Linked DNA regions of Notamacropus eugenii. The protein of the gene in region 1 interacts with the protein of each later gene in a pairwise test. Links are inferred from orthologs where the notes say so. Each region holds a gene or a part of one and is shown in the gene's direction. Other genes may lie near its edges. The genes, in order: TRIP6, NCK2, NEDD9 and BYSL.

Region 1 (7,014 bases):
AGTCAGTTCAAATGAAAGCGATTCAGTTTCCTGGCATGGCGCTGGTAGGCTGTCCATGTTTCACAAGCATATAACAATGAGGTCAGCATACCTCTGTAGACCTTCAGTTTGGTAGTCAGGCTAATACCTCTTCTCTCCCAAACTTTTCTTTGGAGCCTCTCAAACACGGAGCTAGCTCTGGCAATGAGTCTGTCAACCTCAATATCAATGTGTACATCCCTGGGAAGTACACCACCAAGGTAAGTGAACTTATCCACAGTACTCAAGACTTCTCCATTTGTTGTAACCAATAGTACCACATATAGATGGTGTGGTGGCGGCTGATGAAGTACCTGTTTTCTTGGTGTTTGCCAGGCCTAGAGGCCTGTGTGGGCTACCCGAGTCTTCTTACCTCACCTCCGAGGTCTTCAGTTGGCCAAAACCGGATGCTCATATGAGAGAAAGGACGTTCCAGAGTCGAACAAGGGTTGAGCTTTATTTCAGGGTCTAGTTACAAGTGCAGGGGGGTCTTCCTTAGGAGGAAGAGGGGGAGATTTCCTAAGGAGGCTAAGATCTTAAGGGATTGGAAGTAGAAGTACAAGCGGGGAGAGAGGGGGAGGGGAGAGAGAAGAGAAGAGAAGCGGAGCCTACTGTCCTCTTGGCTCCTCACGTGCTAAGAGAGCTTTCAGGCTTCCTCAATCCTACTTAACTCTCCAGCAGCATAGTTTGCATCTAAATACCATGCTGTTAGATAACAATAGTGTGCCCAGATCCGGGACCATCTCGAGGGCGGGGAGATCTCTCTCCCATCACGTTTCTCATGGGGAGAGGCGGAAATACCCGAGCTAGCTCGGTTCACCTCTATTCCCTGCCGTTTCCTGGGAGGGTCTCGTGAGAGCTCTAAGATTTAGAAGCTCCCACCTTTACCCGCCCGAGACTGTCCACACGGAATTGAGCTTCCAATCCCAACAGGTGTTAATTATTAGGCCAAAATTAGCACAGGCAGCAGAGAATTGATCCATACTTTGGTACACTCAAGGTCTACTGTATTTTGTGTTGTCTCTAAGTGTGCACATGTTCCATGTGCCAGTGGTGAGTGGAATCATCTTTGCAGATGTTTTTGTACATTTTGTACATTTTTTTATGTTTTCACCGCAGAGTAGGATTCCCTGCCTGCCGTGGTGATCAGGCCAAGGTTGGATAAGCAGACAATTTTTAGGGCACCTTTTCTACCCTCCTTCGTCACACCAGGAGGTGAGCAGTGAGATCCTTAAAAGACTGCTCAGACACCAGGAGGCTGCCAAGTCCCACTGCTGCTTCCAGTGAGAAACGACCCTACAGCCTGGGCCGCCTGTGTGCAGGGTTGTGACTATAGCTCCCAGCAGCACCTCCTGCTTAATCACTTGCCTGTCGCCACAGGAATTTGAGGTATAATAGTAAAATAGTAAGGGTGATATCTTTTGATTCATGTGTAAATTGGATTTAAGTGAGGCAGAGTTGCACAGAGTTGTCAGACTCACTCTCTCCTCCAGAGTCATCATAGTCCAGTGGCAGGACAGTATCAAGATGACTAGCAATGGTTCAGGATACAATGGATGACCTTGGTGTCTTTGGTGTCTAACCAAGCTCTAAGTGCTCCACATTGCCTGCTTGAACTGCCTTCGTGGCTGTTGGAACAAATTGTTCTCATCCGCCCAATCCACCAGGGGAAGTCTTCACATGTTTGGGATAGACACCCCCCTAACTCACCAATGGGTTTGAGACCCCTTTGGCTACCTTCAATGAAAGGTTTATAGACAGGTGAATGCCAGATCAAGTGGGAAGATTCAAGGAGAGTTCAAGGGGGCTCCCAGAGCCTATACCCCATCAGAATGATGCCCAGAAAGTTATAAAAGGAGTGCATACCCCACAATTCAGCTGTACCACCACTAGGCCTATATCTTAAATAGCTCAGCAAGAGAGAGAGTGGAAAGGGACCTAATTATATAAGAATATTTAGACTGGATCTAGTAGCCAAAAATTGGAAACTAAGAGATTTTCCTCCTATGGGGGGGAAAATTATGGTATTTGACTGTAACAGAATATTATTGTGCCATAAGAAATGAGAATTTGATAATTTCAGTGGAAAACTGAGATGACATCTATGAACAGATGCACTACTGGAAAAACAACTTATACAATGCCACCGTTATAAAGAGAAGACCCCAAAATTTTACATCCTGCTGAATCTCAAACTGTAGTACAAAGCAATAATCATTAAAATAATTTGGTCATGGTTTAAAACAGGAGAAATCAAACAGTGAAATAGCTTGCGTACACAACACAGAGAAGAAAATAAACATAGTAGCATTGTTTAGGAAAAACCCAAAGACGGGATGAACTGATGGACTTTAAAAAGCAGAAACAAACACTTTTCAAGAATGGCCAACGTGGGAATTTATTTTGTACACGTATGAAGACAGTTTTATTTACTTATTTTTTTGCTCAGTAGGGCAAGAATGGGAAGGGCAGATTACCAGTTCGTGTAAGTATGCATGTGCATATATATATATGTGCGTGTGTGCATATAATGTATTTTTTTTTAAAGAAAGGTGAAATGGACAGACCAAGACAAGCACAGGCAAGAGTTAATTGAGAATCTGGGAGCGTCTTTATTAGCCGGCAGCTGTCCTCTAAGGGGGCAGCCCTGAACAAAGGTGTGTGTGCCTTTTAAGCATCTTAGCACCTCTGGGTACAGCTTTGTGGTTCCAAGAGCTCACATTTTTCACAGAACAGTTTTGACAGGGGTTCCTAGGTACTGCTAGGCAAGTGGATGCAACAGAGAGGGGGGCCCAGGCAGCTGCTAGGCAAAGGGGTACAACAGAGATGGGGGCCCAGGAAGCTGCTAGGCAAAGGGGTACAACAGAGAGGGGGGCCCAGGCAGCTGCTAGGCAAAGGGGTACAACAGAGATGGGGGCGCAGGCAGCTGCTAGGCAAAGGGGTACAACAGAAAGTGTAGCCACTAACAGTAAGTGGCTACTAGGCCCAACCCTGCCTAGAAACTCAACAGACATTTCTCAACCCAGGGGCTCTGGAGCCGGGGGGAATAATGTCCATTTCAAAAGGAAGTAGAAAGCAGCTTGGGCTGGGGTAGCCTTGGTACTCCTTTTTTTACTTGACCAGTTGTGTTTGTCCTTCTGGAAGAGGACCTTGACATCAAGGTGATGACACGCCTTGCAATTGACTTTGATTTGAGGGAGGCAGGGCTGTGCAAGGTCACCAGCCTCACTTTCTCCTCCTGAGCCATCTGGGTCCAGTGGCCTGACATTCATCAGGACAGCTGGAGATGGCCCAGGATGCACTGGGAGACCCTGGCCCTTTCAGGCTAAGGCCTTACCACATTCTCACTTTGGGTGAGACACACCCATTCAATGAATGCGCTTCTTTAAGTAGTTGCTCAAGGGATGGTCCCTTTAATAAAAAAAAAAACCAAAAACAAACTGGGAGAAGACCCTCGGGGTTCCTAGGTAAAAGAGAAACAGTTACTATTTATTCAGTACTATTTAGCATTTGGCCAGTGGAGGGAGGGAATGCAAGGGCGAAGCGTGGCAGGCTGTGTGAGCTGCAAGGTAGAGAGCCAGGGGCGGGGGCCACCCGCGTGGGTGAGTTGGTGAATCCAAAGAAAAAGGTGTGGGGTTATTATGGAGCCTTCCCAGCCATCCCAGGTCTTTCTTGGTCTTCTTTCTTCAACTCTGAGCCCAGGCTCAGCCCCCAGCCCCCAGCCCCGCAGGACCTCAGCCCCCTGCCCCCAGCCTCCATCCCCAGCTTCCCGGGGAAGCCCCAGAAAGTGGAGCTAGAGGAGGGGGCCTGGTCAGAGGGAGACCGTGGGGAAGTCGGTGAGGGGCTGGGGGCTCGGGGGGAGGGGCAGAGGCGTCTCGGGCCGCCACGTGATCCTCATCACTTAGGAATGCGGTGATGTCACTGGGGGCGTGGCTCTCCCCCAAATTGATGTTGAAGAAAAAAGAGAAGGCAGAAAAAGTTTCTTCTGTCTCGGAGCCGGAGCCAGAGCCGGGGTGGAGACCAGAGAAGGGGGCCACCTCCGTGGGCGCCGGAGGAACGCCACCGCGGAGTTCCCACGCGCTCCTCCACTCGTGGCGAGAGCCGCCTTGCCTGCCATGTCCGGCCCCACCTGGCTCCCCCCAAAGCAGCCGGAGCAGAGCAGGCTCCCCCAGGCACGAGCTCTCGTGCGGGGCACTCCCGGCCCCTCGGCCCACGGAGCAGGTAACGGGCACGTCCAGCCCAGGACCCAGGGAGTGGAGGGTGCCCGATGCCCCCCTGGTCCTCGCTTCCTCCGGGCCCGCTGCTTCCCTTGCTTTTCCTACGCCCCTGCTGCAGACCCTCGTGCCCCACCCCCACCCGCCCCAGCAGGTCTCGCTGCTTCCCAGTTCCTTTCTCTTAGCACCTGGGCTGTGCAGACAGGAAGCCTCGGGGAGCAGTGAATCGGCCCCACGCCCTCCCTCCCTTGTTCCTGGAACCCTGCTTTTCTCTTCCCCTTTCCTGGTCTTCCTCCTCTAACCAGCGCCCTAAGCCCACTTCGTGTCTAGGCAGTTCCTACCATTTCCCAACAGAGCAAGGCTATCAGGGCTCAGGCCGACCAGAAGAACTGGCACCAGCCTTGGGGAGATGCCCCGGAGCCTCCCAAAGCATACAGGTGGGAAGTCGAAGGATTTTGAGGTGGGGGCTGTATGTTTGGGTTCCCAGGAAAAGGGTCCAGAAACTTCCTCATTTCTTCTTGACCACAGGGGCTTCGGCCAGACAGGGGAGCCGTACACCTAGGAAGTCTGGATGCAGAGATAGATTCACTGACCAACATGTTGGCTGACCTGGACAGCAGTAGGGGCCATGCCCCATGTCGTCCAGACAGACAGGTGACTCCCTCCCAGAATCCTCCTCTTTTGCCTCTGCAATAACATACCCTTGGAAAACAGAAAGATCTTTTCCCCTATAACTTCTACAAGATGTCAAATCCCCTAACCTTTTCCATTCCAGGGCTTTTGGGTTGTGTCATAATATATGAGCATGAAAGAAGTCCAAGTTGTCAAGGTAGATCCCACTCATCCTATGGTATCTTTATTTCTTTTTAGGCATGCGAGCCCCTTCGGCCCCCTCCCTACCGTTCAGGTTTCCTGAAACCAGGTGGAGGAGTGACCACTCCACCAAGGGTTCCAGCCCCATCTTATGGGGGCCCTACCCCTGCCTCCTATACCACAGCCAGCACTCCAGTTGGCCCTGCCTTCCCGGTCCAGGTGAAGGTGGCTCAGCCTGTGAGGGGGTATGGTCAGTCCTGGCGGGGTGTCCCTCAGGCCTCTAGCCCACCCCCAGCTCCTTACCCTCCTTCAACCAGTTGGGCTGAGTCTTGGGGGGGTTCCTATGAGGGGCACAGAGAGCTCAGGGCCAAAGAGGAGAATGTTGGAGCCTCTGGCCCAAGAGGAGGAAGAAGAACAGGAGGATATATACCTAAGGTGAGGAGGATGTATACCCAAGGTGAGCCAGGAAGACTGGCCATTGATGGGAAATGGGTGGGAGTGATTCTACAGTAGGGGTGGCAAAACCCCTTAAAGGAAAGTTGGGTGGCTAGGAGAGAGGAAAGAGGCCACTCAAGGGACCAAGGTGGCCTGGGTTCTTCCATTTTCTTTGGCTATTGTGTTTGAAGATGAGAGAGACCGTGCAGTTGGTTCTCATGGGAGGAACCCTGGATTTGGGGCTAAAGGACCCAAATGTGAGCTCCAGCTCTTTAACACTTACTGAGTGATTAAGCAAATCCCCTCACTCCAACTTCCTCCTCTTTTACAATGAAGATAATCATACGCCTTATCTACCTTAGGAAATTCTAAAGTGCTATTCATTGTAAACTGTTCTTTATTATTATGTGGTTCTCTGCAATACATAGCTCCTCCTTCTTGGAGATTTGGGGGCAGGACAGGGGACAGAGGGGATTGAGTCTCATTCTGGTCCCCTTTTCCCATGCCCCCTAGCAGGCTGCCCCCAGCAGGGCTCCCCCTGAGGAAGAGCTGGAGAGACTAACCAAGAAGCTGGTACATGACATGAACCATCCACCCAGTGGGGAATACTTTGGTGAGCCAGGTTCTAAACATCTGCATTTTTTTGAGGGGGGTGCAGGGATGTTCTGGTACTCTCTAGACTAAAATTGAATCTCTCTTCTTTCTTCCCTTCTCCCCCTCCCCACTCCCTGCCTTGCTCCTTAGGCCGATGTGGGGGCTGTGGGGAGGACGTGGTAGGGGATGGTGCTGGGGTTATTGCCCTCGATCGTGTCTTCCATGTTGGCTGCTTCGTCTGCTCCACATGCCGGGCTCAGCTCCGGGGCCAGCACTTCTATGCAGTGGAGAGAAAGGCGTATTGTGAAGGCTGCTATGTGGTAAGTGACAGGAAGCCAAGGTTCAGAGTGAAGGAAGATTTGGGATCGGAAAGAATTGCCAAGCTAGGGAAGTAGATAATTTAGTCCATAAGGGCAGCTGGGTCTGAATGTGGACTATGCCAGGTAAGGTACATGTCTTCAGATTATTCCCTATAGGGTTTGAGACTCAGTTGAGTGTCAAGATGTCGGGAGGCTGGGGATCCAGACATTTGGGTTCTGGCAGGGAGTTTGACTGGAAAGTTGACTGTGGGACTTCTTCAACAGGCTACTTTGGAGAAGTGTTCCATGTGCTCCCAGCCTATCTTGGACCGGATTCTACGGGCCATGGGGAAGGCCTATCACCCTGGCTGCTTTACTTGTGTTGTGTGTCACCAAGGTCTTGATGGCATTCCTTTCACAGTGGATGCCACCAGCCAGATCCACTGTATTGAAGACTTCCACAGGTCCTGATGATCCCTGCTCACTCAGCCTTTCCTTCTCTGTGGTCTTAACAACTCCATTCCCCTATCTCCATTCCCCCAAATCTTTACCCCATTCATAGGGATCATAGAAATCATATAGTGTCAGAAGAAACTTGAGAAGCCACCTGGTCCAACCTTTCATTTTTACAAATGAGCCCA
Region 2 (8,009 bases), on another chromosome or scaffold:
ACAGTGGAGTTAAGAGGCCCAGGTTCAAGTCAGAATTCTGACATTTATAAGCCATGTGACTTTGGTTAGGCATTTCAACGCTCTTAGGCAGTTTCTGGATATAAAATGACTTTGTAAATTGTAAAGCACTATATGAGTAAGTAGTTGCTAAGATCAATATTAATAACACTAGTACTGGGGTACTTTAAGATGATGAATTATCAAAAAACGATTCAGTTACATTCACTTCCATCAGGGTTTCTTAAATTTTTCCACTGCAGACTTCTTGTGACAGTGTTGCATGGCCTGAGGGAATGCACAGTGCAAAGTGCCCATGCTTTGTGTTCAGAACCAAAGCTGCAGTGAAGGTGCACAATGCAACAGGGCAAGTACTACCAGAAACAACTCGAATTCATTACGCATTTCATTTTCAATTAATTTTTGGTCATCAAGTGTTCAGAAACCTTTTACCACTGCCAAATTTTTCACGACCCCATATAGGGTAGTGACCCACAGTTTAGGAAGTGATAAATATTAAAAAAGGAAAGTGGACTCCAACTAGATTTGACAAAGAAATTTTCCCTCTGTGATTTTAACATAAAGGCAAATTTCATCTTGCAAATTAGCAATAACCAATATGGCTATTTATGAGATTTTGCAAAAAACCCCACAAAACTCCAATATAAAATAATTTTGTTCTACCACTTGTCTCTAGTAAATACTTTTAAAAGTAATTCAGGGTTGCATTGTTCTTAGTTTTCAGAAAATGTCTTTACTAAATGTGACATGTCATTTTAAAACTGATGTATGGGAAACTAAAAATGGCTCATATCCCTTAACAAAAATAGAAGTCAATAGTTACTATGCAGCATGGTATATATGCATAAACATAGAAAGGGAATGAGTAATTTTTAAACATGCTCAATCCCCTATTTGTTTTCCTATGCAATTGAAGTCAACTTTTATGAGATTTTCTACACCTCTTTTTCCTTGTCTCTTGGAAAGGAGATAATTCAACCAATAAAGTCTTACTAAAGACCCAAACATCATAAACCTATAGTAATTAAATGCCATTGAACTCATATGGAACAGTATTGTGAGTTTTATTTGGCTATATGTGTTTAAATTTTTTGTAACTGTATTTTTTCTTCAATCTTCACATATCATTAAAACCAATTAATCAATCAACAAGTGTTTATTATGTGCCATGGATACAAGTACAAAGAATGAAACAATCCCTACTCCAAGTAGTTTACATTCTTTGACTTATATAAAGGGCCCCCAAGGGCCAGTTAGGAAACACATTGGATAGGGCACCAGTCCTGGAGTTAGAAGGACCTGAATTCAAATCAGACCTGTACTAGCTATGTGAGCCTGGGCATGTGACTTAACCTCAAATGCCTCCAAAAAAAAAAAAGGGTCCAAGACCAACATTTAATAGAGAACCAAGTCAGAGTCAGGAAGATAAGTTCAAGACCTACCTCTAACATACTGGTTATGTGACCCTGAGTAAGTCACAGAAACTGTGTAGATCCCCAAGCTGCTTTAGCATCTGCAGTGGAAGTGGGTGAGTTTCTGCAAAAATGATATGACAATTCTAGCTTAAAAAAAAAAACCCCTCCAATCCTGCCACCTTTTTGTCCTTTAATAGTGGGAGGAAGGTGTTTAATGATTGAAGATTTCTTTTTAGCCTTTTCCTCTAAGTTTACACAGATAAATAAAAACTTAAGCTCTGTGACCCCATCCGTTTTTAGGGGCCAGTTAGCGAAGCTAGAATGAAAGCTTAGGTGCCTCTTGACGTTATTTTAAAACAGCAAGGATTTAATGAGAATCTATCAGGAGTTCAGCATTGCTCAGACTGTGATGGGCCCTGCCCTCAAGAAATTTATAATATAGTCAGAGGACTATTAGCATAGATGTAGGAAATAAAGAAGCAAAGTGGCAGCATGCATCAAGTAAATGCTGTAATACAGATTTGAAAATAAATTACTGGATATCTGAGTAGTTGAAGAAGGGTCATGTATGGAGAAAAAAAGAATTTGAGATGGTCCTTGAAGGGCAGGAAGATTTCCAGATTGGGGAATAACATATACAAAGGCATGGGAAGTGGAAGTAAACATGGCTTGGATGGGGGTGGTGAGGCAATTGTGACGAAATTGGCAACGTTTTAATGTTAGGGAGAAAAGAAACTGGATAGGTAGGTCTTAAAATCAATCAATAAGATTTTAATAAGCAACCTGGTATTAGGCTGTGAGCTACTTAAAAGCAAGGGCTGCTTTTTTTTTTAATCCCTTTCTTTGTATCCCAGCTGGGATATAGTAGGTACTTCATGATTTTCATTGACATAATTTGCTATATATCAGGCACAAAGGATACAAATCCAAAAGTAAGCCAGTCCCTGCCCTTGAAGGAAATTTAGACATGACATAAGAGGAAATGGAAAGTTGCTATGGGTTTTTAAACAGGGATGTGATATAAACAAAAGTTGTATTTTAGGATAATAAGTCACGATACCATGACTATGTTTGATGGATTTCAAAAAGGCAAGAATATTGAGGCAAAAAGACAATGACGAGACTGGGTAAAGATGAGACAGTAGAATGGAAAGAAAAAAGCAAAATTGAAGGATATTTTAAAGAAAGAACTGATGAACTTATAATTAATATTTCAGAAGTGGAAATGGATTTCTGAGGTTAATTCTAATCCCACAATTTACTTATATATTTGATTGGACGGTGGAACTGGAAAAGGGCTTACAGATGATATTGTCCAATTTCCTCATTTTGCAGATATGGAAATTTGGATATGAAAGACAAAGAAAGAGTCTAAGATAAAACTAAAGTTTCTTTGTGGAGGGATTGGGTATGGGTATCTCTGACAATAGAGAAATTGGGAAGAACTGGTTTTAGGCAAAAGATGATTTCCAATGTATTGCATAAGAGATGATATTACATGTAATTGGAGATGTCCTTTATGAAGCTAGAACTAGTATGACAGGCAAGCCCTACTTTGGGGTAGGAGGGAGGAGGAGGGAATGAGTTTATAGGGAGAAAAGTAAAGAGACAAAGAAAAGGGGGTTGCAGGAAAAAAACCACAGTTTGGAGCTAAGAGGATTAAGTACCATTAAGGGAGAGGAGTTCATAGTCAATAAACTTTTATGAAACATCTACTATATGCCAGGTACCCTGCTAAGTGCTGGGGATACAAACAGTATAAAGACAGTCCCTACCCTCCAGGAGTTTACAATGTAATGGGAGGAAACAACACACAAAAGAAAGTTGAAAAGGGAGTGGAGGGAGACTTATGAAGGAAGGAAAAGGGGTATGGTGGAGGTCAAAGAAGGCCAAGATGAGTGATTAAGATGGGAAATGAGATATCTGAAGAGATGTCAGTCCTGTTCCACTCCTTAAATGGAGAGATTTATAGCTTCATCTTCCAATCAGAGGGGCAGAGGATATGGATGAGGTGTGGTTTACCACCAACAAGGCTGGTTGTTAAAAATAAAGGAGGTGAAGAAAAACTGCTCTGAAGTAGAAGATCCAGGGTAGTGAGGTATTACACAAACCACAATAATTTAGAGGAATAGAGGCTTTGAGAAAGTGTCACAATTCAGAGTTAGCAGGATAAGACAGAAAAGAGGACTGGACTTTGGGGAATTTAGAAAACAGTTTTCAGTAGAGTGGCAGGAGCTGGATGTAAGTTGTAGGGGATTACAGCAAGAATGAGAACACAATGAAGACCCATCTCCCTCCGTCCCCAATTTGAAGAGAAAAAAGATAAAGGCAGTGAGATCAAAGGTTTGCAAAACAAACTTGAAACTGTACCTAACAGATCAAATTTTTTTGAAACATTGTTACACCTTTGACTTGCACCACAGCTAGGCAAACATGAATCAGAAGCAGAGCTACAGATAAAAGGTAGATTTTAACACTAAAACAGAGATCACAAATGGAGATGCTGAGACGGCAAGAATAGGACCGATATTAGACAACTGTAGTTACTCAGTTAAATGACACAGACAATAGGCAAAAGACCTCTGACTCTTCCGAGCTGGGTTTTACCAAGTTACCTATAGTAGTGGAGGTTATCGTTGCTTTTACAAGGATCTAGGAGAGTGCTTTCCTTTGAACTGAGTACAGGGGCTTAGTATTTAGAATATTAGCTATATGCCTGGTGGAAGCCCTTTGGGGGAGAGAAGACACCTGGATGTCCATGTGAAAAGTGAAACTTGTGTTGCTGTAAGCTTGTTAAATAGTAAAGGGAATTCTTTACAGGCAAACCATAACTTATTATAGGGGGAGAAGACCAATCGCATCACAGATGACAATTTCATGTGGGACCTGACATTTAAATAATTTGCTATCTGCCTCACAGCAATAGACTGTACTATCAGAACCTGACTGAATTAAACAGATGATGCACAGTCAACAAAGGCCGGGTTTTTGCCTCTTCCATTTCTGAATTGTTTCCAGGAGGGATACCTGAAATTAAAACGTATTTTGTGGTCAAAGTAAATACATGCAAATATCCCCAGAATGCAACTTTAGGGAGGAAAAGGGAGACTTTTCACCGTCATCCATCGCAGGCCTTCTTTCCTGCGAGTTTCTCTGGGGCTTTGTTGGGTGGGTGGATGGGTAATCACTCAATAGCTTTAGTATCTGGATAAGAAATCAAAGAAATAACAAAGGCCCCCCACGAGGGCCCTTTGTCAAAGGCAGAAATAACTGCCTTCCTTTCATTAGCTCCCTGCCCCAACGACACGCACGTGCACTTTAAGGTCGCAAGGGAGCCCGGCTCTCCCTCCACCCCGTCTACCCACCACCGCGGATGGGCGGTATTTGCCCATCGCTAAGCGGCGTGCCACCTTCCCGAGCTCACCGAGGAGTCCTTGAACCATTTCTATCCCTCCTGCTGTAGAGCCCGCCGGTCTTTTTGTACCCGGCTCTCGTTGGGAGAGGTAGAAGGCGAGAGAGTGAGAGCAGCCTTTCGGAGCACCCCGGCCTCGGCCCCCACTGGGGCTCCGGCAGACTTCTCTCTGCCTGGAGGAGCGCATCCCCGCTTGGAAGGCTGCCGGTGCCCCCCTGGCCCAGGCACCCAGAACTCCGTAAGTGCAAAGGGGCGAGGCCGTGCCCGGGGTCGCGCCCCCCTTCCCAACCATCCCCGCCAGCCCCTCCCCGGCCGGCTGCCCCGGGGTCAGCGGCGTGCCAGCAGAGCCCTGCCCGGGCGGGCGGCTGCAAGTGCCATTAAGCCTGGAAGGGCAGCGAGGTGGGGGAGTAGAGGGTAGGAGTGGGGGGGGGGGGGGAAGAAGGCCTCCAGCCGAGCCCACCGCGTCACAGCCCGGGCCGGGGGAGGAGCAGCCGAGGAGGCGGCGGCGGCCAGGAGAGGAGGAGGAGGAGAAGGGGAGGGGAAAAGGAGGAGGAAGAGGAGCCGGAGGAGGAGGAGGAGGAGGAGGGAGTTGTGTGCATGGGGGGAGGGGTTGCCGCCGCCGCCGCCAGCTCGGGCTTGGTCCGGCCGGGAGCCGCGGACCGGAGCGGGAGGACGCCTGAGAGGCCAGCGATCCGGGGCCTGGGAGCCGCGCTGCCGGCCGCCGGGGAGGAGGAGGAGCAGTAGCCGGAGGAGTAGAAGGAGAGCGGCGGCCGCGCCGGCCCCGGGAGAGTCCGCCTCCGCCGGCGGGGGGCGGGGAGCGGCAGCGGCGGCGGCGGAGGGGAAGGAGACAAAGAGCGGAGCCTCCTGCGGCGGGGAGCCCGGCCTCCTCCGCCTCCGCCTCCGCCCGGCCTCCCCGGCTCCGGGACTTTGGGGCGCCGCAGCCGAGCTCTCTGCCTCCCCCTCAGCCGCCCCCGCTCCGGAGGTAAGAGCCGGGCCGGGATGGGGAGGGGCTCCGCGCGCGCGTGCGGGGCTGGGGACGGGGACAGCCCGCGGGCTCGGGGTGCCGGCACCGCCGGAAACTTGGGCTGATGGAGCGGAGTTGATGTGGGGCGCCCCCTTCCCGCGAGGAGAGGCGGACGGGCTGGGCGCTGGCGCGGAGCGGGGTTCTCTTGGTGCCCAGGGGGGCCCGGGGAGCCCCCGCACCCCAACCTTGGCGGAGGCATCTGCACTTTTCAACGCCCCTTCATCCCCACCCGGCGGTCGCTTTTCCTGCCTCCTTTCTTTTGCCTCCTGGGTGGGTGTCGCTGTTTGGAGGTGGAGTGCGTGGGGCGCCCGGGGAGGAGGAGAGGTGGGGGCGGGGGCACGGACCGGTGGGCTGCTTCTGCTTGGGGTAGGAGCGCGGAGGTGGGGCGGAACGCGGGGGGTGGCACGCACGGGCGTTGGGCTCCGCTTTGTCGGGCGGTAAGCAGAAGGACCGAGGTGGTGGTGGAGGTCTTGTCGGGGAGGGAAGGGAGGCCGATGGGGCTCCGGTCTGCGGGAGTCCGGGCTGGGGGTGGTGGCAGGAAGCGCCGAGCTCCGGAGCCCCCGGGGAGGATGCCGGAGCCGCCCCCCCCCCCGAGCCGGGGAGCTCCTTAGGGGGAGAGAACGAGACCCTTCGATCCGGGGGGATGGAGAGGAAGCCGCGTCCCTCCCCTCTCGTGCCCCTGTGTTGGCAGTGCCCACCGCCTTACTGCCAGCCCTCCTGGAGGGGGTGTTTGCCAGAGGCTCGGGAACGTGGTCCTGGGCCACATTATCCAGACGACTTAGTCCTACTTGTTACTTGGACTCAAGTTTCTCCATAGTTTTACGCTCTCTGCTATTACTGGAGGCAGTTGCCGTGTAAAATTCCCTTATTGTTTAGGGTCTGAACTCCCAACTTGCCCAGAAACACAACTTACTTTGTGTCGTGTGGAGGGATTTCACTTGCGAAGCACTTTAATGGGCAAACTGTAAAAATGCTGGAGGAACTGACGTCTTTCTGCTGTGGATACTGAGCACCTGACATAAAGGAGCCAGGCATGTTAACAACTTCATCCAGCTTGTGATGGACACGACATATCTCCATGTCGCTGGCTTTGTGGTTAATTCATCGCGTTTTCTAACAATCCTTGAGAATATAGCTGACTTACAGATACTGACCAGGAGGCAATGCATGGGGCATTTTGGGGGTCAGGAAGGATAGGACCTGTGGTTTGATTGAATAAACTGGTTTTTTTTTTCCACATTGAGAGGAGCGTCTCCACATGCTCATTAATTTCTTAGTCTATTTCCAAACAGACCAGTATCTTTAACTTGCTCCGGAGGATGGAGGAATGTAAACCTGGCAAGAAACAAGAAGAATTAGAGGCTGTGTGATACAAAAAGCCCCCTAATGTTACAGAAGGGATATGCTTAGTAGAATTCTAGCCTGTATTCTTGAACCAAACATTAAAGATGATTGAGTATGCTATTAATGCAGGTTAGCACCTTTTTCTTTAACTAAAATTGTTTCTTCCCTAAATTTCCGGAGATTAAGTGACAGGTCAGAGGCAGGACTTAAGCTCTGAATTTAGGATTTCTGGGGTCTGTGGCTACTATTCACTATACCATGGTGGAACTGGGCATATGCAAACTGGGCATAGTTTCTTGAGATACAGTATGTTGGCAAAGAGAAGCCCATTCATTTGTACCCATTTACTAGCTATGTGACCTTGGACAAGTCATTTTAAACTTTTAGTGCTTCTGGGCAGCTCTCTAAGATTAAGTTGAAGAAAAAGGTGCTGGCCTGCATTAATAGGAGTTTATTCAGTCAAATCACAGTTCCTGACTCCAAAACCATTGCCCCATTCATTGTTAGGCAGTTTTAGTTATAGAGAAGTAGTAGAGGAGGTTTTCTCTTGGACTTCCCTACACCAGAGTTGTCCAGCCTAGCTGAATTTGGCCAGATAAAAATGTAATTGGGAAATATTTAACAAAATAAAAATACAGTGAAACATAGTGTTACATTTTAAAGTTAGCTTAATATGTGGCCCCCAGCGATCCTTCTGTATGTATTAGTGGTCCTGGGCTTCTATTTGAATTTGACTTTAATGAAATCACAGGTGGTTCAATCCCTACCCTTCCTAAAACCCAGTTTGCACTAGTCT
Region 3 (7,264 bases), on another chromosome or scaffold:
GCCATTTCCCTCCCTACCCAACCATTCCTTCCCCCCTCCTCCTTTCCCCTCCTTCCTCTCTGACAAAAAGAAAAGAAAACCTGAAGCACAATGCTAAAGGGAAATGAAACCTTGGCCAGCACCCATCCACCAAAAGCTCCGTCAATTTTTCTTCCCCAGGAAAAAGCAACTTCTGTACTTTGCATCTAAGCTGTCTGAAGAAACTTTTGCCAAAGCATCAGTTTTACTCATTTGTAGGAAACACGGAAAGCAGACAGCCATGTGTGACCTTCACTGACTGCCGTGCAAGACAGACTGCTCAGCTGGGGCTTGGGGGCTTCAAGCCAACAGGAGCGAACACTTCAAGGCATCCCTCTAAATGAGGAAGAATGAGAAGGGAATGGGGTAAATCATCCTCGGGACTGAGTCCTCCAGTTTATAGGATGTTCAGCATATGGTGATGGAAAGAGCTCTGGACAAGAGAATCAGGAGATCTGGGTTCAAGTATGGGTGGTGCTGTTTCCTAAGCATCTAACCTTGGACCATTCGTTTCACTTACTCACCTCAATTTCCTCACTTCTAAAATAAAGGAGTTAGACTAGTTGACTTCAAAGTTCCCTTAGACCTCATATACTCTAAGACCCAATCTTTTCTAATCTGCTCTAATAAAATGAGCCATTGCAGTAGGATAGATAATAAAAACAGCTAGGTGGCTCAGTGATTAGAGCACTGAGATTACAGTCATGAGACATGAGTTCGAATGTGGCCTCAGACACTCATCAGCTATGTGATCTTGGATCAGTCACTTAGCCATGTTTGACTTAGTGAATCAAATGAGCCGAAGAAGAAAATGGCAAAGCACTGTAGTATCTTTGCCAAGAAAACCCCAAATGGGCTCACAATGCATCAGACACAATTGAAAACAACTAAGTAACAATAGAAGATAAAGGAAGAAACACTAGATTCTGTATAAACACTGATACACAGTAGGGAGATAATCAGGAAGACCTGATTAAATTCTGTCTCTGACACATAGTGTAATCCCTCTGAGGTTCCTTCCCCAATTCCAACTTGCACCTAGAGGGTGGCTGCTACTATGCTCAGAGCCCTAAGGGTAATTCTGAATGGCTGGACTTCTACTACTGTTGTTCACCCACTCCACAACTGTGTTTCCCATTGACATCAGCCATCGAAATTCAATTAGCTTTGAGGAAAGGGTATTTATAGAGGGAAGGAAGGAAGGAAGGAAGGAAGGAAGGAAGGAAGGAAGGAAGGAAGGAAGGAAGGAAGGAAGGAAGGAAGGAAGGAAGGAAGGAAGGAAGAGGAGGGCGTGAGGGAGGATTTATTAAGCACCTACTGTATGTCTGGCACTATGATAAGCACTGCAGATTTCTCATTTGATCCTCACAACATCCGTGGAAGATGTTCACTCAATGGAGTAAAGGGAAATAGAAGTGAAGGGAATTGCCTAAGGTCATACAACTAGCAAGTATCTAAGGGTGGATTTGAACTCAGGTTCTCCTGACTTCAGGTCCAGCACTCTATCCACTCTGCCACCTAACTAGTGGTACATTCTCTCACAAATACACAGAGACCAGGGGAAGAGTAGGATGATGGTAAGCCACACATGTAGAGAACACGTGGATTAAGAGCAAACTTGTAATTCTCAATTACTGGAAGTCCTTCCTTGAGTCCATAGTCAGCATTCTTCTCCAGTACAAGAGGTCATGTTCCCTGGAACTGCTTCATCCTTCTGCTGGCTGGCTAGTTCTCTATATACATGTGGCCATGTTTGCCTCCAGTGTGTGCTCTAGATGCTACTATCCCATCTAGCTATTAACATGGTCATTGAGAGAGAGAGGGAGAGGGAGGGAGAGAGAGAGAGAGAGAGAGAGAGAGAGAGAGAGAGAGAGAGAGAGAGAGTGTAGGGGATGGGGAAGAGAGAAAGAGAAGAGCCTGGCTGGAATCCTCTGAAATGAAATCCTCTACCACTAGACCAGTCCACTATTTTAATGGACAAGTGCTAAAATTTTTCCAGCTACTTAAAGACCCCCAGGGGTATGGTTAGATTGTTCTGGTTAATTACACATACTGTATACTTCTCCACCCAATTACAAAAGAGTTCTCACATGGATAAAGTAATCACACAGTGCAGACAATCCTGTTCACATGCCTTTAAAACCTAATCATGTCTCTGAGGTGGAGAGTTTCCCTTCCTTACAAGCATAACGACTATATGGCCTTGGGCATGGCACTTAACTTCATAGGTAATTTTCCATGATTACACATTTCAGAGCAGAGGCTGGCCTGTATTAGTAGAGAGGCTTTCTTTCTCTGGAGTTCATTACACTAATGAAATCACAGGTCTGATTAAAAACAAAACAAACAAACACAACATTTGATTTTGTTTCTCCAAGGAAATGAACTATGGTCCCATACAACAAATGTAAGATCCCCAAGTGTTGGAAAATGTGTCAATACAGGCAAGTATACTTTTCTCCCTGAGCTTGTTTCCTCATCTTTAAATGGATATGAGAAATCTTGCAATGACCTACTTCAATTCTACTCTACTCAACATGCATTTACTATGTTTCCCCCTGTAATGCCAATCAATGCAACACACCCGAGGGCAGGTGCTGTGAATATATTTGTATATTTATTTAGGGTTGAATTGCAAAGTAATAAGCTCTCTATTTACTCAAAACCAAATCCTATTCAAGAAACCAAAGCGTTATACAATCAGGAGATCCCAAGCCAAGGTCTTCCCTTACACAGCACATCCCCAGTGGTAGCAGAAAATATAACACCATCTACCCCTAGGTCACAATAGGTTATGATCCCCTCAATTCAGAACAAAATGTACAAGTCCTCTGGGGGGTATGTCTTTCTCTCCACACTGCTGTTGCAGGCTCCCACCTGGCATTCTCGGGTGCACACATGCTTTGATGAGCCCAGAGAGTCCAAGTCCAAATCCTAACACTGTTCCAGTCTCCGCTTCAAAGTCCTGAGGGGCAGCTGGGAGAAAGCCAACAGGGTGGGTCCCAGGGGACCACAGCACTTCCCCCATCCCACCATAGACAACTCCGCTTCCCTGGGTCCCAAGTCAACCCAGGGGCACACGGCAGGAAAGCATACTCACTGCTCCTGTCCTGTTGTAAAGTCACCATCTTGACACAGGGCTAATTTGTGAACAGAGGAGTTTCTCCTCCTTCAGGGTCCGACCACTCCTGGATCCTGCCTGGGTTCACATGCAGACAGCTCCCTGCTCCTGCTCCATATCCCACCTCATGGGAAAAAGGACTGCTCCATTCCAAGCTCTACCTGCTCTTGCCTGGGTCCAGGTACTCTGGCCTGTACCACCCCAACTCCATGACAGCTTATCTTCCTCCAGCACATGGGGAGAGGGTTACTCCAGTCTGGGCTCTGGGCACAGCAAAATAATACATTAACCAGAAAACAACAGATAACTAATCCAGTCTCACTAAGCCCACACTCTCCTTTGGTACTTTATTCCAGTCCAGTGTTTCAGTGTTCTCACAAGGGTTGGTATCAGAGGTGTCTTCTCTCTATCAGAGGTCTCCTCTTCAAGCCTTGATAAGTGATTCACATTCACAGCTGGGGGGGCTCCTTAATAATGGCTAAACATCCTTATATGAGCAAGCCCCCCCAAGGTAGTATCTTGCCTCAGAACATATATATGTGTGTGTGTGTATACATACATGTACATATACATATATATGTATAAAAGGGTGTGTATATATATATATATATATATGTATATATATACCCTTTTAACTAATAAGCTCAGAGCAAGAAGGCACCAAACCTTTGTTACTCAGCACAGCTATGAATTACCAGGGTTCAAAGGAGATTGATCCTTCAGATATTTACAATTTAGTATAAGCCTGGGAAACTGAACTCCAAGAAAAAAAGAATCCCACCTTGCTTACACTTTTCCTCCCCCTGCCCAATGTGCCAAGTATTCTACAGGTGTATCTGTGATATATTTTGGGAGTTCAAAGAAGAAAGTCTTACCTTTACGGAGCTTACATTCTATTAGAGAAAGAGGGGAGAAGGAAGCACTTTGAAAACTCCCAAATTCTATGGAAAAACAAACTATTATTTTCATTATTATTTCCCACTTTCAAGCTTTCAATCTTTCTTTTCAGGAGCCATCGATGATCATTTCTATGACCCCACACCCCAACATGAGACCTGCTTTTGGAAGCTTTTTGAGGAGCTATGAAAAAGAAGAAATCTGTAATTGAATTGAAACCCTGGAGTCACTAGCTTCCTACTCCAGAGCCCCATCATTCCCTGATTTAACAAAGAGAAGAACTGAGAAAAATGTGGGAAACAGTAAGTTGTGATTGGACAGACATATTTTATTTAAGTACTACTTATCTATGTTGACTCAACAGGTGTACTAATATCAGTGAAATGATAATGCAAACTACTTTCTCAATTCCACCAAGGCTTTTAGGTAATATTGGAATAAAAGGACTAATTTTGATCTAGGCAGTGAGACTTTGTTGTGATGAGTCTTTAACACGGACAACAAATCTGAGAATTCTCTGGATGGTCAAGGCAATGCCAGGAGAAATGCCTCTTCCATTCTAAAATCTGACAGGGAATAATCTGAAATATTTCAAGAATAATCCATGAACTAGGGCTAGTGGCTAAAAACATCTAAATATTGCAGCCTTATTCAGGGAACAATTTCCCCAGGTTGGGAATGATTTGGATCTCTGATGTCTCCCCTACTTTTTATTCTTCTATTTTTCCTTGGGGATGAACACAAGATTTCATTGCTGATCATTAAACAAAGTCCTGGAGAAGAAGGGGTCATATCTTACAAAAATCATTCTCAATCACTTTTCCTACTTAGGACAGACAGTGTTGTGTCAGTAATGCTTAATGGTTTGGTGAGAAATGAGATTGACTGACTGTGATGGGATTTGTAGACTCTTTGTTAAGGTCTGTTATATGAGCTTTCTGCCTTATGGATAATTGAAAGTTAATTGCCTTTGATGTATGGATTGGTTTTGCAGATTTTTTTCTACTCTTTTTCTTTTTATTAAAATTCTTTGGTATAAGGGATAACTCTCTAGATGGAGAAGATATACAAGAGGAAGGCTATTGCTGTTCAGTCATTTCAGCTGTGTCTGACTCTTGCTGACCCTATCTAGGGTTTGTTGGGTTTTGTTATGTTTTTTGGCAGAGATACTGGAGTAGTTTGCCATTTCCTTCTCTAATTCATTTTACAGATAAGGAAACTGAGGCAAACAGGGCGAAGGGACTTACTCTGGGTCACACAGTTAGTAAGTGTTTGAAGCCAAATTTGAAGACAAATCTTCAAACAAATCTTCCTGACTCTAGGCCTGGCACTCTATCTACTCTGTCACCTAGCTACCTAAGAGGAAGCCTAGGAGATGTAAAAAAGGAAAGATGTCAGTAAAAATTTATTTTCAAAAAAGAAAACTAACTTCCTAGTACTAAAATATATATTATACTATTCAAGCAGTAGTGGTAATGGTAGTATATGTTAGGCTGAGCTAATGGGGTGTGGGGGCAGCGTTGTCATTCCCTGTCACTGACCTTTCACCTTTGTATGAATCTGATTTCCCCTTTTCCAGCCATTCCCTGGGTTCTTCTCAGAAATTACTTTCTCAGGCTATTCCCTTGGCTTCACCCCATTGGCATGACTTGGTTTTCTTTATAAGCCATACCTACAGGGGGAAAAAACAGTGGAAAAGGAAGGAGTCAAGATATACCTCCCATACCAGAATTTTATCTTAGCCTCCCCCAACCAAAGCTGCTGACGAGTTTACCTATAATGATTCAGGTTTAAGTTTCTCTCTCTGCATCAGTTAAGTTATAAAATTGAATCAACAATTCTCTTTTGTTCATTCTGAGCCTATAGGCCAGGAAATAGCCCTGTAATTGTAAAATTTATCTCCCTCATTCTCACCTGCCTCCAACACCCCACCCCCAACCCCTGGTCTTTTGCTCTCTCTGATACATTTTAGTGAAGAAAAACAAGTCCCTAATGATATGGTTAACAATGTTGTGACAGTTTTTTTTTTTAAAAGACAATTGAAGACATGGTGAGGAGGAAGGAAAATCAGGTTTATAGAATCAAACATAAGCTTCAGGAACAGATTCCAGGTTTCCTGAAAATGGAGAGGCAGGGGAAAGGAGAAGGTTTCAATAATCCTTAAACATTTCAGAGCAGAAAACATTTTAAAATATCACAAAATGTCAATTGTAGATCAATGTCTTCTTCATTCCGCTTATTCATTACTGAAGGAGTTTCTTCAGAATAAGCAGGTCTATTTAGAATTCACTGGATTTCAGATTCAACGTGGACCTCAATTACTGCAAATGGCTCTATTGATGCCCAATTTTTCTAAGGCCAATCTTGGTGTCAGGATATTTTGAGGCATTTTGATGCCTCAAGCTCACTTGTCAGTAAAAGCGCTGTGCTGAGCTTGGCAGAAGACTTTCCTCTCACTCAAAGTCACAGTGAATGCAAGATGAACATTCCAACAGAAGACACTGGTGAGCTGGGGGGGGCCATTTAAGTCTAGTGGCAAGTAATCACCACCAGTTATGACTGCCCCTGCGGCACAGTCCAGTAAAATAGGATTTGCCTAGATCTGCTTCATGGCACCTGGATCCTGCCTTTGAGGCCTGTATTGGTGCTGGCCACTTCCCATTATTACAACCCTGGCTCCCATTTCCATGATGGTTTTTCTTCAAACCACTATTTTTCCATTCAACAACTCGTCCTCATCCTTAGGGGCAGTTTCTCTCAAGTTAGCCTCTTGCTAACTTGAAATATACTTTCTACTCCCTGGTTTCCTCTTTTCCTTTCCCTTAGTTTTAGAGGGCTGACGTCCATCAAAGCCTAGCTCTAAGTACTCACAGGGTCAAGATAGCTCCCTTGGGGAAGAAGGAGAACTTAGATTTCTACTCACCAATGGGATCCAGAATCTTGTCATTGTATATATACACAGAAAAGAGTTATGACAGCACTGATGGAGGGCTAACCTTGGAGTCAGGAAAACCTGTGTTCAAATCCTATATCTGAAACATACCAGCCATTTGACCATGGGAAATTGTTTAACCTCTTAATGACCCAGGCAGCTCAGTACAATTACAGATAAACTGTCAACCTGCGAGAGTAAAGGGAGTTTCTTCAATGGGAATTCCCTATATAGATAAAATTACAGATCCAGTTCCTTCCCCTTACTTAAAAAAAACTCTAAAACCTCAATTTAGA
Region 4 (7,634 bases), about 23 Mb from region 1:
AGAACACCGCATTTGGTTACGGGTGCCAAAGTCTGAGAAGGACATTGATAAACATAAAAGCTCCAGAGCAAGGCAACCAGGAAGGTGAAGGGTCCCTAAGTTCATGTTACGTAAAGATCAGTTGAAGAAATTGAGCATGTTTAGCTCAGGAAAGAGAAGGCTCAGGGGGAACAAGGTAACTACATTTAAGAGGCCTGAAGGGCTCTCATGTGTAAGTGGGACTGAAATTTATTCTGTTTGGTCCCAAAGGCAGAATCAAGAACAAAGGATGCAAGTTGTAAAGAGAAAAATTAAGACTTAATATCAGGAAAAACTCCCTCACAATTAGAGTTATCCTTGAAGTGGTACAGGTTATCTCAAGAAGTGGTAGATTTCCCTCCCTCACATGTTGTCAAGCTGAGGTTAAACAACCATTTGTGAGGTGTGTATAGTAGAGATTCCTTTCATGCATCGTTAGATTCTATGGGCCACTGAAGTCCTTTCCAAATCTTAAATTTATGATTTTGGGAGACGAAAATAGAAAAGAGAAGAGAAAAGGCATTATGTTTTAGCGGATAGCAGCCAGCTCTCAAGTCTAGGAAGTCTTACTTCAAGTTCTAACTCGGACACACTACATGAGTTACCATGGACAAGTCACTTACAAGGTCCCAGGCAACTGTTGAAGACTACAAATTACAGACAGGTGACTAATCTGTATCAGCAGTGGGTGCTCTCCACATTAATGAAGTCATAGGTTTGGATTCCTTCCCAAAGTTCATCCTGTGGTTATCCACCTTCTAGTGACAGATCCTCTCTGATATGAGCTAGACTGGAATGGGTATGAAAGACATGCTATCTACCACCAGATGAGTAGTCAAAGCCTTTCTAGTTTGGGAAGACTACCAGAGCTCGGTAGGTTATATTACTGGTTATATTTGCCATGGTTTTTCCTTTAAAATGTTCATTAAAAAAATTAGACAACAATGAAATCAGGTATCTTCATAGTCAAGGCTTAAGAAAATTCCCAATCAAGCAACAGATACAAACAATTACAAAAGATGAAATTGTCACTTTCAATTACATAAAATGTAAAAGCCTTTACATGAACAAAATCAAAGTAACTGAAACAAGAAGGTGAATCATTAATTGGAGAGAAATGCCACATTTAATATCTCTGGATAGAGGTCTGATATCCAAGATCTATATAGGGAACAAAGATATATAGCCACTCCCCAAAACTATTCCCCAATAGATTAAGTGGTTTAAAAATGAGAACAGACTTCAAAAGAATAGCAAACTATTAACCACAAGAAAGATTACTTCAAATAATAAGAGAAATGCAAATGAAAACAACTCTAAGAATCCACCTCATACCCAGCAAATAGGTCAAGATGCCAAAAGATGGGAAAGATCAATGTTGGAGGGGCTTCAGAAAGACCTGGATACTAATACTATATTGGCAGAACTGTGAGTTACTCAATTTCTGGAAAACAATTGAGAATTATGCAAAAAAGGTGTGGGTGCTAAAAAATGTCCATACCTCTTGGTCAAGAGACCCTACAGATAAGCCTATACCACAAGGAGGTCCAAAATGGAAAGTCTCATATTATACCCTAAAATATTCATAACAGAATTTTTTGGAATAGCAAAGAATAAGAAAACAGACACCAATGGACAAACTAGGGTACATGAATGTAACAGATTATTACACTCTAAGAAATGAGAAATATCAAGAATTCAGAGAAGCATGGAAAGAGTTGGAACTGATAGAGAGAACTAGGAATTCATTTTCACTTCCCTCTCATCCTCAGACAAATAGGCAAAATATACACAAAGTTAACAATGTAAACAAAAAGACCAAGACGAAAATAAAAAACATGAAACTAAATGCTATGTAAATTACAGTAACCAAGCTTGGCCCCCAAACATAGCTTCCTCTCCTCTATGTATAAGTAGGAGACTGTGGGCATGGACTATATAAAACGATTAGTGACAGTTCTTTTGCTGAACTGTTTCCCTCCAACATTCTTAAAAATTTTCTTTTTTTCACAAGAGATAGCTTGCTGGGCAGAGGAGAGTGGGTAAGGTTATAATTCAAAATGAAGGCAATATAAAAAGAGATAAAAAAATAAGCTTTAAAAATATTTTAAGTAAGTATCTAGGTTTTGCCTCTCTAGTTCAATTGTGAAGATTATCTTTTCTAAATATCCTTTTACATGTGTATACCACTTAACACTTTTCAAAGCACTTTCATATCTCATTTTATCTCCAAAACAACCTTTTAAACTGTAATTCCCAATATACAGCTGATGGAACAGACAAAAGATTTGTCTAAGCTCACAAAGCAAGTAAGTAGTACAGAAAGGACTACAATTTAAGGTCCCACACCCCCTATTCCTAGTGTGTGGGTCTTTTCATCATTTCTACTTTTGCATTTTAATTCAAACCATTGGTACAGAGTTTCCTTCCCACAGAGTGGACAGTATATTGAGCCTCAGTGAATGGCAAAGGAAGTGGCCAGAGTGATAGTATAGGGAGTTCCAAGACAGGAAACAAACAAACAAAAAGTGTAGAAAGATTTCCTCTTGGTTCTCAACCTTTAGACTGAAAAAAAACACCAAAACTCTTACAACTGAGCGTCAGGAGTTCAGAAATACTAATGAATAGCCTTGAGCAGAAAACTGTCTCAGCCAGAAAGATGTCTAAGGACATTAGCATCTGGAGAATCTACTAAGTCTGAGCAAGGTTCCAGCTGTCCTACTTACCACACACTGACCTTGGCTGCCCATGGTAGAGGCCGCTGTGTGGTAGGTCTCACAGTCCACGCAGAATGTCCCCTGCTTCTCTGCCCCTAGCAGTTCCAACTTCCTGGTCAGGATCTCCACGGTCTGCTGGACACTCTTACCCTCAGCCACAGGCATCTGGGACACACTAGAAGGGTAGTGATGAGCCTTCAGGGTCCACATAGATGTGAACAGGCTCCCCCAGCTTCTCATTCAGCAAAGGAAGCTGGTAGCCCCAGATCCCATCCCAGCCAGAGTCCCATCCCTGCTGGGAGATGCCACTGCTCATATGCGAGAAGCAAAACACTACAGGCAGTCTGTGTGTGGCTTTGGCCCAAATGAGAATTCTCCAGAAAAAGAAAGATAAGGATATCCTAGGGATCACACTAAGCATATCATTCTCCCAATGCAGCAGATGTTTCTCGTTTTCTGCTTTTTACCTAGTTCCCTTTGCTGTCATACACCTTTCCCCTCACCATGCCAAGTCTCAGAAAGAGATTACTGATTGAACTCTGGGGACTACTAGCTGGCAGTCAGTAACTTGCAAGTGCCAAAAATAACTCTAGAAAGGAAAGGTCTTCACAAGCTCTCAGATGTGGCACCAAAAAGTTGTGCCCTTATCTGATACCTTCTTCGGTCAAGAAGCATTTACTAAGCACTACGTGTGAGTTACTGTGCTAAGCGCTAGAGGGATACAAAGGAAAGATAGGGTTGACAATGACCCCTCAGCCCCAGATGTGAAAAGCAGACCACCAGGGCACTGTTTCTCCTTCTCCCTCTTCAACATGATGGGTTTTCCAAGCCGGGCCCAACAGCCTTCAGAAGCTGGCTCCTTTCTCCCCCTTTCAGTGCCAGGGATAATGCTCCCTCCCGCCATCCCGGGAGGATGGTGATCAAACTCTGGTCAGGCAGGAGATCCCGTCCCCCTGGTCCAGCTCTACTGCGGGGTGTCTCGGGCTGGAGGTCGGGCGAAGGAAGAGGAGAAGCTGAAGCCTGCCACTCAGTGACCTCCAGGGCTTCCTCCCGCCCTTCGCCTTCCCCTAAGAACAGGGAACTGCCTTAAAGTCTCCCAGAATCTCTAAAAACCTACAATTAAAAAAAAAAACCTACAAAACCCAAGCGTAAACTTCCCCCCAACACACCCACACCCCCACCAGGCCTGCAGCGCCCCCAAAGCGGGGACGGGTTGAGAGCTGGTAGATGGAAGGGCCTGACTCACACCCGAGCCCAGGCATCCCGCCCCCACCCACTCATCCCAACAAGACCGGGAAAGGAGAAGGGTCGGGAGGAGGCCTCTGCGGGGACGCAGCGCCTTCTCCGTACTCCCTCGCGGTCCGGCCCGGGTGCCCAAGGAACTCTGAGACCTCCCCCCTCCACGTGCAACATTCGCGGCCCTACCATGTCACCCCCATGCTTCCAGGTCGCACGGGAGTGTGTACGTTGGAGGAATCCGACGCCGCGGCCTCGCCTCTCCCTCCGCTCTCCCGCAGGAAGCCCCACTTCCAGGCCTTGGTGGGAGGTGGACGGAAAGACTGTAGGGGAGAGAGAAGGGGGAGGGGAGGAGGAAAAAGAGGAATCCGGAAGTGATGCATTAAGTCGGGCCTCGGAAGTGACGTATAAATAAAGCGTCTCAAAGAGAGCACCAGCCGCGGAGTTGCCAGGACTTGGGCGATCACCCCGACTAGGAGCTCCGCCCACTTTCCCCACCCTAGAGTAAGGCGGGAGGTTTCTAGGAATTGACTCGCGACCTAAATACTCATCTCTGGAAGACAGAACAAATCCAAACCAGGGCTACAGCTACAGTGGGCAACTACGAGTCCAATTCACATAACGCGAGCCGTCGTACGGCGGGGGCCCCGGGAGGGGCCTGGTGACGTCTAACTTCAGGGGGCGGGGCCGGTAGGGGGGGCACCGGAAGCTGAGTTTCCGGCCTCCGATCGCTGGGAGGCGCTGTGTTCCGCCAATGGAGCTTGTCTTCTAAATCTGGGAGGTGCAGAGAATGACGCGCTGCTTGGCGCCGGCGCAGTCCATATTCCTGCCAGTTCCCCACGTGTGTTTCAGAGGAAGGGGTGGTGGAGACCATGCCCAAGATCAAGTCGTCCCGTAAGGCCGGAGGGCAGGCAAAGCATGCCCCTCTGGCGGACCAGATCCTGGCAGGGGACTCCGTACGGCCCGGAAGCCGGGAGAAACGGAGGGACCGAGGCCGCGGGACGGAGGAAGAAGAAGAGTACGTGGGGCCCCGGCTGACCCGGCGGATCCTACAGCAGGCGCGAGAGCAGCAGGAGGAGCTAGAAGCTGAACATGGCTCGGGTGACCAGACAGCGCCGAGAAAGCCCACCACGCGGCTGGGTTAGTGAGGGGGTCGAAAGGGTCCTGCGGGAAATAGGGGAGGGGGAGGAGCCGAGAAACTGAAGGCGGAGCTTCAGGGAAACTTGTGGGTTAGTTACCTTGAAAGCACACTCGCTAATCTTCCACCTCTCCCTGTATACTAGCTGCTTTCTTACTGCCTACAAACATGCACGCGTCTCCCTTATCCTCAAAAAACCCCCACTTGAGCCTTCCATCCCCCCCTCCATCCGACTATATCTGACTCCCTCTCTTCTGCAGAATTTGAGCAGTCTGTTTACAATAGGTGCTAACTTCCAATTAACCTTCCTCTCATTCAATTCTTTGCAATCTGCCTTCTGATCTCATCATTCTACGGGCCCTGATCCCTCCAAGGTACCAGTTATTTCTTACTTTGCAAATCTCTACAGCTTTTGACACTGGGTCGACCTCCCTCTTCTTCCTAATACTCTATTTTCTATGGGGTTTTGTGACACTACTGTCTTGATTATGTCCTGGTTCAGGGTTGGGGAACCTGCGGCTTCTAGGCTTCTAGGTCCTTGGGTGTGGCGTTTTGACTCAGTCCAAGTTTTACAGAGCAGATCTTTTTATTAAAGGGATTTATTCTGTGAAGTTTGGATTCAGTCAAAGGGCTGCACTTGAGGACCTAGAGGGTCACATGTGGCTTCGACGCCGCAGGTTTCCCACCCCTGTCCTGGTTCTTTTCTGCCTGACAGTTCTTTTGCTGTCTCCTTTGCTGGACATTCATCCAGGTGAAGCCATCTATTTGTGAGTGTGCCCAAAAACCCTGAACTGTTCTGTCTTATTCTTCTCTATTACTTTATTTGGTGATCTCATCAGTCTCTGTTGATTCAATTATAGTCTCTTATCATACATATGATTCTTATAGAGTTTTTTATCCATCTCCAACTGACTATTAGACATCTTGGTTGGTATATCCCATAGACTCCTCAAAGTCATTATATCCAAACCAGAACTTGTTAGCTTTCCTCTAAAACCCTAACTTTTCTATTACTGTCAGGAACCTAAGAGTCATACTGTACTCTCTTCATTCTTTCTCATCCCACTATTTCCAGTCAGTTGGCAGGTCCTGTGGATTCCATCTTTGTAGAAACTTCTGTATGTTCCCTTTTTTCCTCTTGACACTACTACCCTCCTGGTACAGACCCTTATCACCTCATCCTTGTCTATTGTGTAACCAAGTCACTCCCCAGGTCAGTCCGTCCTCCACCAGAGGTGTCAAACTGTTCTTCCTAAAGTTCAGATCTCATCATGTAATTGTGCATTTAGTAAACTTCAGTGGGTCTTTTATCTCCAGGATCAAATATAAATCCTATTCAGCTTTTAAAGCCTTTCATAACCTGACCCCTTCCTACCTTTGCAGTCTTTTAATATTTTACTGTCTTCCACATACTCTACCATCCAAGGATTCTGGTCTTCTTGCTGTTCCTTGACCAAGACACTCCATATCTCTACTCATCTTTTCATTGACTCTCCCCCTTGCCTATAATTTTCTCCCTCACCTCTGCCCTCCTGGCTTCCTCAGCTTCCTTCAGGTTTCAACTGAAAATCCCACCTTCTGCAAGAAGCTTTTCCCAATTCCCCCTAAAGCCTTCCTGTTGTCTTCCCATTAGATTGAGTTCCTTGGAAGTGTCTAATGTTTTTGCCTTTGTATACCTAGTGCTTAGCACATAGTCTAACACATAGATGACACTTAATAAATGATCATTAACTGGTGACTCAGGCATGGAGGCGCATAGGCCATGAGAGGGAGAGGGAACCCAAACAATGATGTTCATTCATTTTCCTTTCCATCTCAGTAGACTTCTCAGAATTTTGCACCTGCATAGGATCTTAGAGGACATCTGATAAGGGAAAAGTGTCAAACATAGCATTTTTATTTGTTTGTTTACATCTATTGTTTAGTTATCCTTTTCTCACTTTTCAGCCCAGACCTCTCTGCTGCTTTTACTACTACTACTGACCACCCTCTCCTCCTGGATAGTCTCTCTTCTTTAGGTTTTCAGACAGTTTGTTCTCTTGCTTCTCCTACTTCTCTGACTCCTTTGCTGGTTTATAATCCATAATCACACTACTTAACTGTAGTTATACCCCAGTAGTATGCTGGTAAATGTTTAACAATCAGCTCTTCCACATGCTTTTAAGCTTAATCTTCATAATTAAGTTTTCTTCATATCTTAAATCTAAATAATCAGCAAAAAAGTAAATCAAGCTCTCATTAGTAGCATTTGCCATTTTCCAAGGTATAAATCCTTACATTGAAAATCTAACAGTCCCAAGAATAGTTGGGGCTGGCTCCAGTACATCCCTAGTGTACCCCAAGACTATATCCTGACTATGATCAAATTTTGTGATCAAAATTACCTGTGCCTGTTCACTTAAGCGTTAGCTGAAATAAAGTGAAAATATCTCTATAGAGCAGACAAAGCATTTTTATACATTTACTATGTGCCAGGTACACAAATGACTCCTAAATCTCTTTATCTGACTCCAGTCTATATCCTG

What was found.
Region 2: the proteins of TRIP6 (region 1) and NCK2 interact in binary tests that used the Homo sapiens proteins (3 or more experiments, as listed by UniProt). The two-hybrid records come from large-scale screens. The link is inferred for Notamacropus eugenii from reciprocal best matches to the Homo sapiens genes TRIP6 and NCK2.
Region 3: the proteins of TRIP6 (region 1) and NEDD9 interact in binary tests that used the Homo sapiens proteins (3 or more experiments, as listed by UniProt). The link is inferred for Notamacropus eugenii from reciprocal best matches to the Homo sapiens genes TRIP6 and NEDD9.
Region 4: the proteins of TRIP6 (region 1) and BYSL interact in binary tests that used the Homo sapiens proteins (3 or more experiments, as listed by UniProt). The two-hybrid records come from large-scale screens. The link is inferred for Notamacropus eugenii from reciprocal best matches to the Homo sapiens genes TRIP6 and BYSL.

What each region holds. Positions count from the first base shown.
Region 1 is NC_092873.1:79,910,870-79,917,883, reverse strand, and holds the start of TRIP6 (thyroid receptor-interacting protein 6), read left to right. Parts: upstream 1-3,995; 5' UTR 3,996-4,133; coding exon 4,134-4,239; intron 4,240-4,586; coding exon 4,587-4,669; intron 4,670-4,760; coding exon 4,761-4,886; intron 4,887-5,102; coding exon 5,103-5,480; intron 5,481-5,993; coding exon 5,994-6,093; intron 6,094-6,224; coding exon 6,225-6,394; intron 6,395-6,658; coding exon 6,659-6,837; intron 6,838-7,014. UniProt on the Homo sapiens protein: Relays signals from the cell surface to the nucleus to weaken adherens junction and promote actin cytoskeleton reorganization and cell invasiveness. Involved in lysophosphatidic acid-induced cell adhesion and migration.
Region 2 is NC_092877.1:200,902,506-200,910,514, forward strand, and holds the start of NCK2 (cytoplasmic protein NCK2), read left to right. Parts: upstream 1-4,992; 5' UTR 4,993-5,083; intron 5,084-5,690; exon of another isoform or gene 5,691-5,827; intron 5,828-8,009. UniProt on the Homo sapiens protein: Adapter protein which associates with tyrosine-phosphorylated growth factor receptors or their cellular substrates. Maintains low levels of EIF2S1 phosphorylation by promoting its dephosphorylation by PP1.
Region 3 is NC_092875.1:182,734,866-182,742,129, reverse strand, and holds the start of NEDD9 (enhancer of filamentation 1), read left to right. Parts: upstream 1-4,248; 5' UTR 4,249-4,326; coding exon 4,327-4,338; exon of another isoform or gene 4,339-5,708; intron 5,709-7,264. UniProt on the Homo sapiens protein: Scaffolding protein which plays a central coordinating role for tyrosine-kinase-based signaling related to cell adhesion. As a focal adhesion protein, plays a role in embryonic fibroblast migration.
Region 4 is NC_092873.1:102,945,154-102,952,787, forward strand, and holds the start of BYSL (bystin), read left to right. Parts: upstream 1-4,616; 5' UTR 4,617-4,843; coding exon 4,844-5,111; intron 5,112-7,634. Other genes in the region: MED20 (mediator of RNA polymerase II transcription subunit 20), read right to left, coding at 2,756-2,910, 4,161-4,354. UniProt on the Homo sapiens protein: Required for processing of 20S pre-rRNA precursor and biogenesis of 40S ribosomal subunits. May be required for trophinin-dependent regulation of cell adhesion during implantation of human embryos.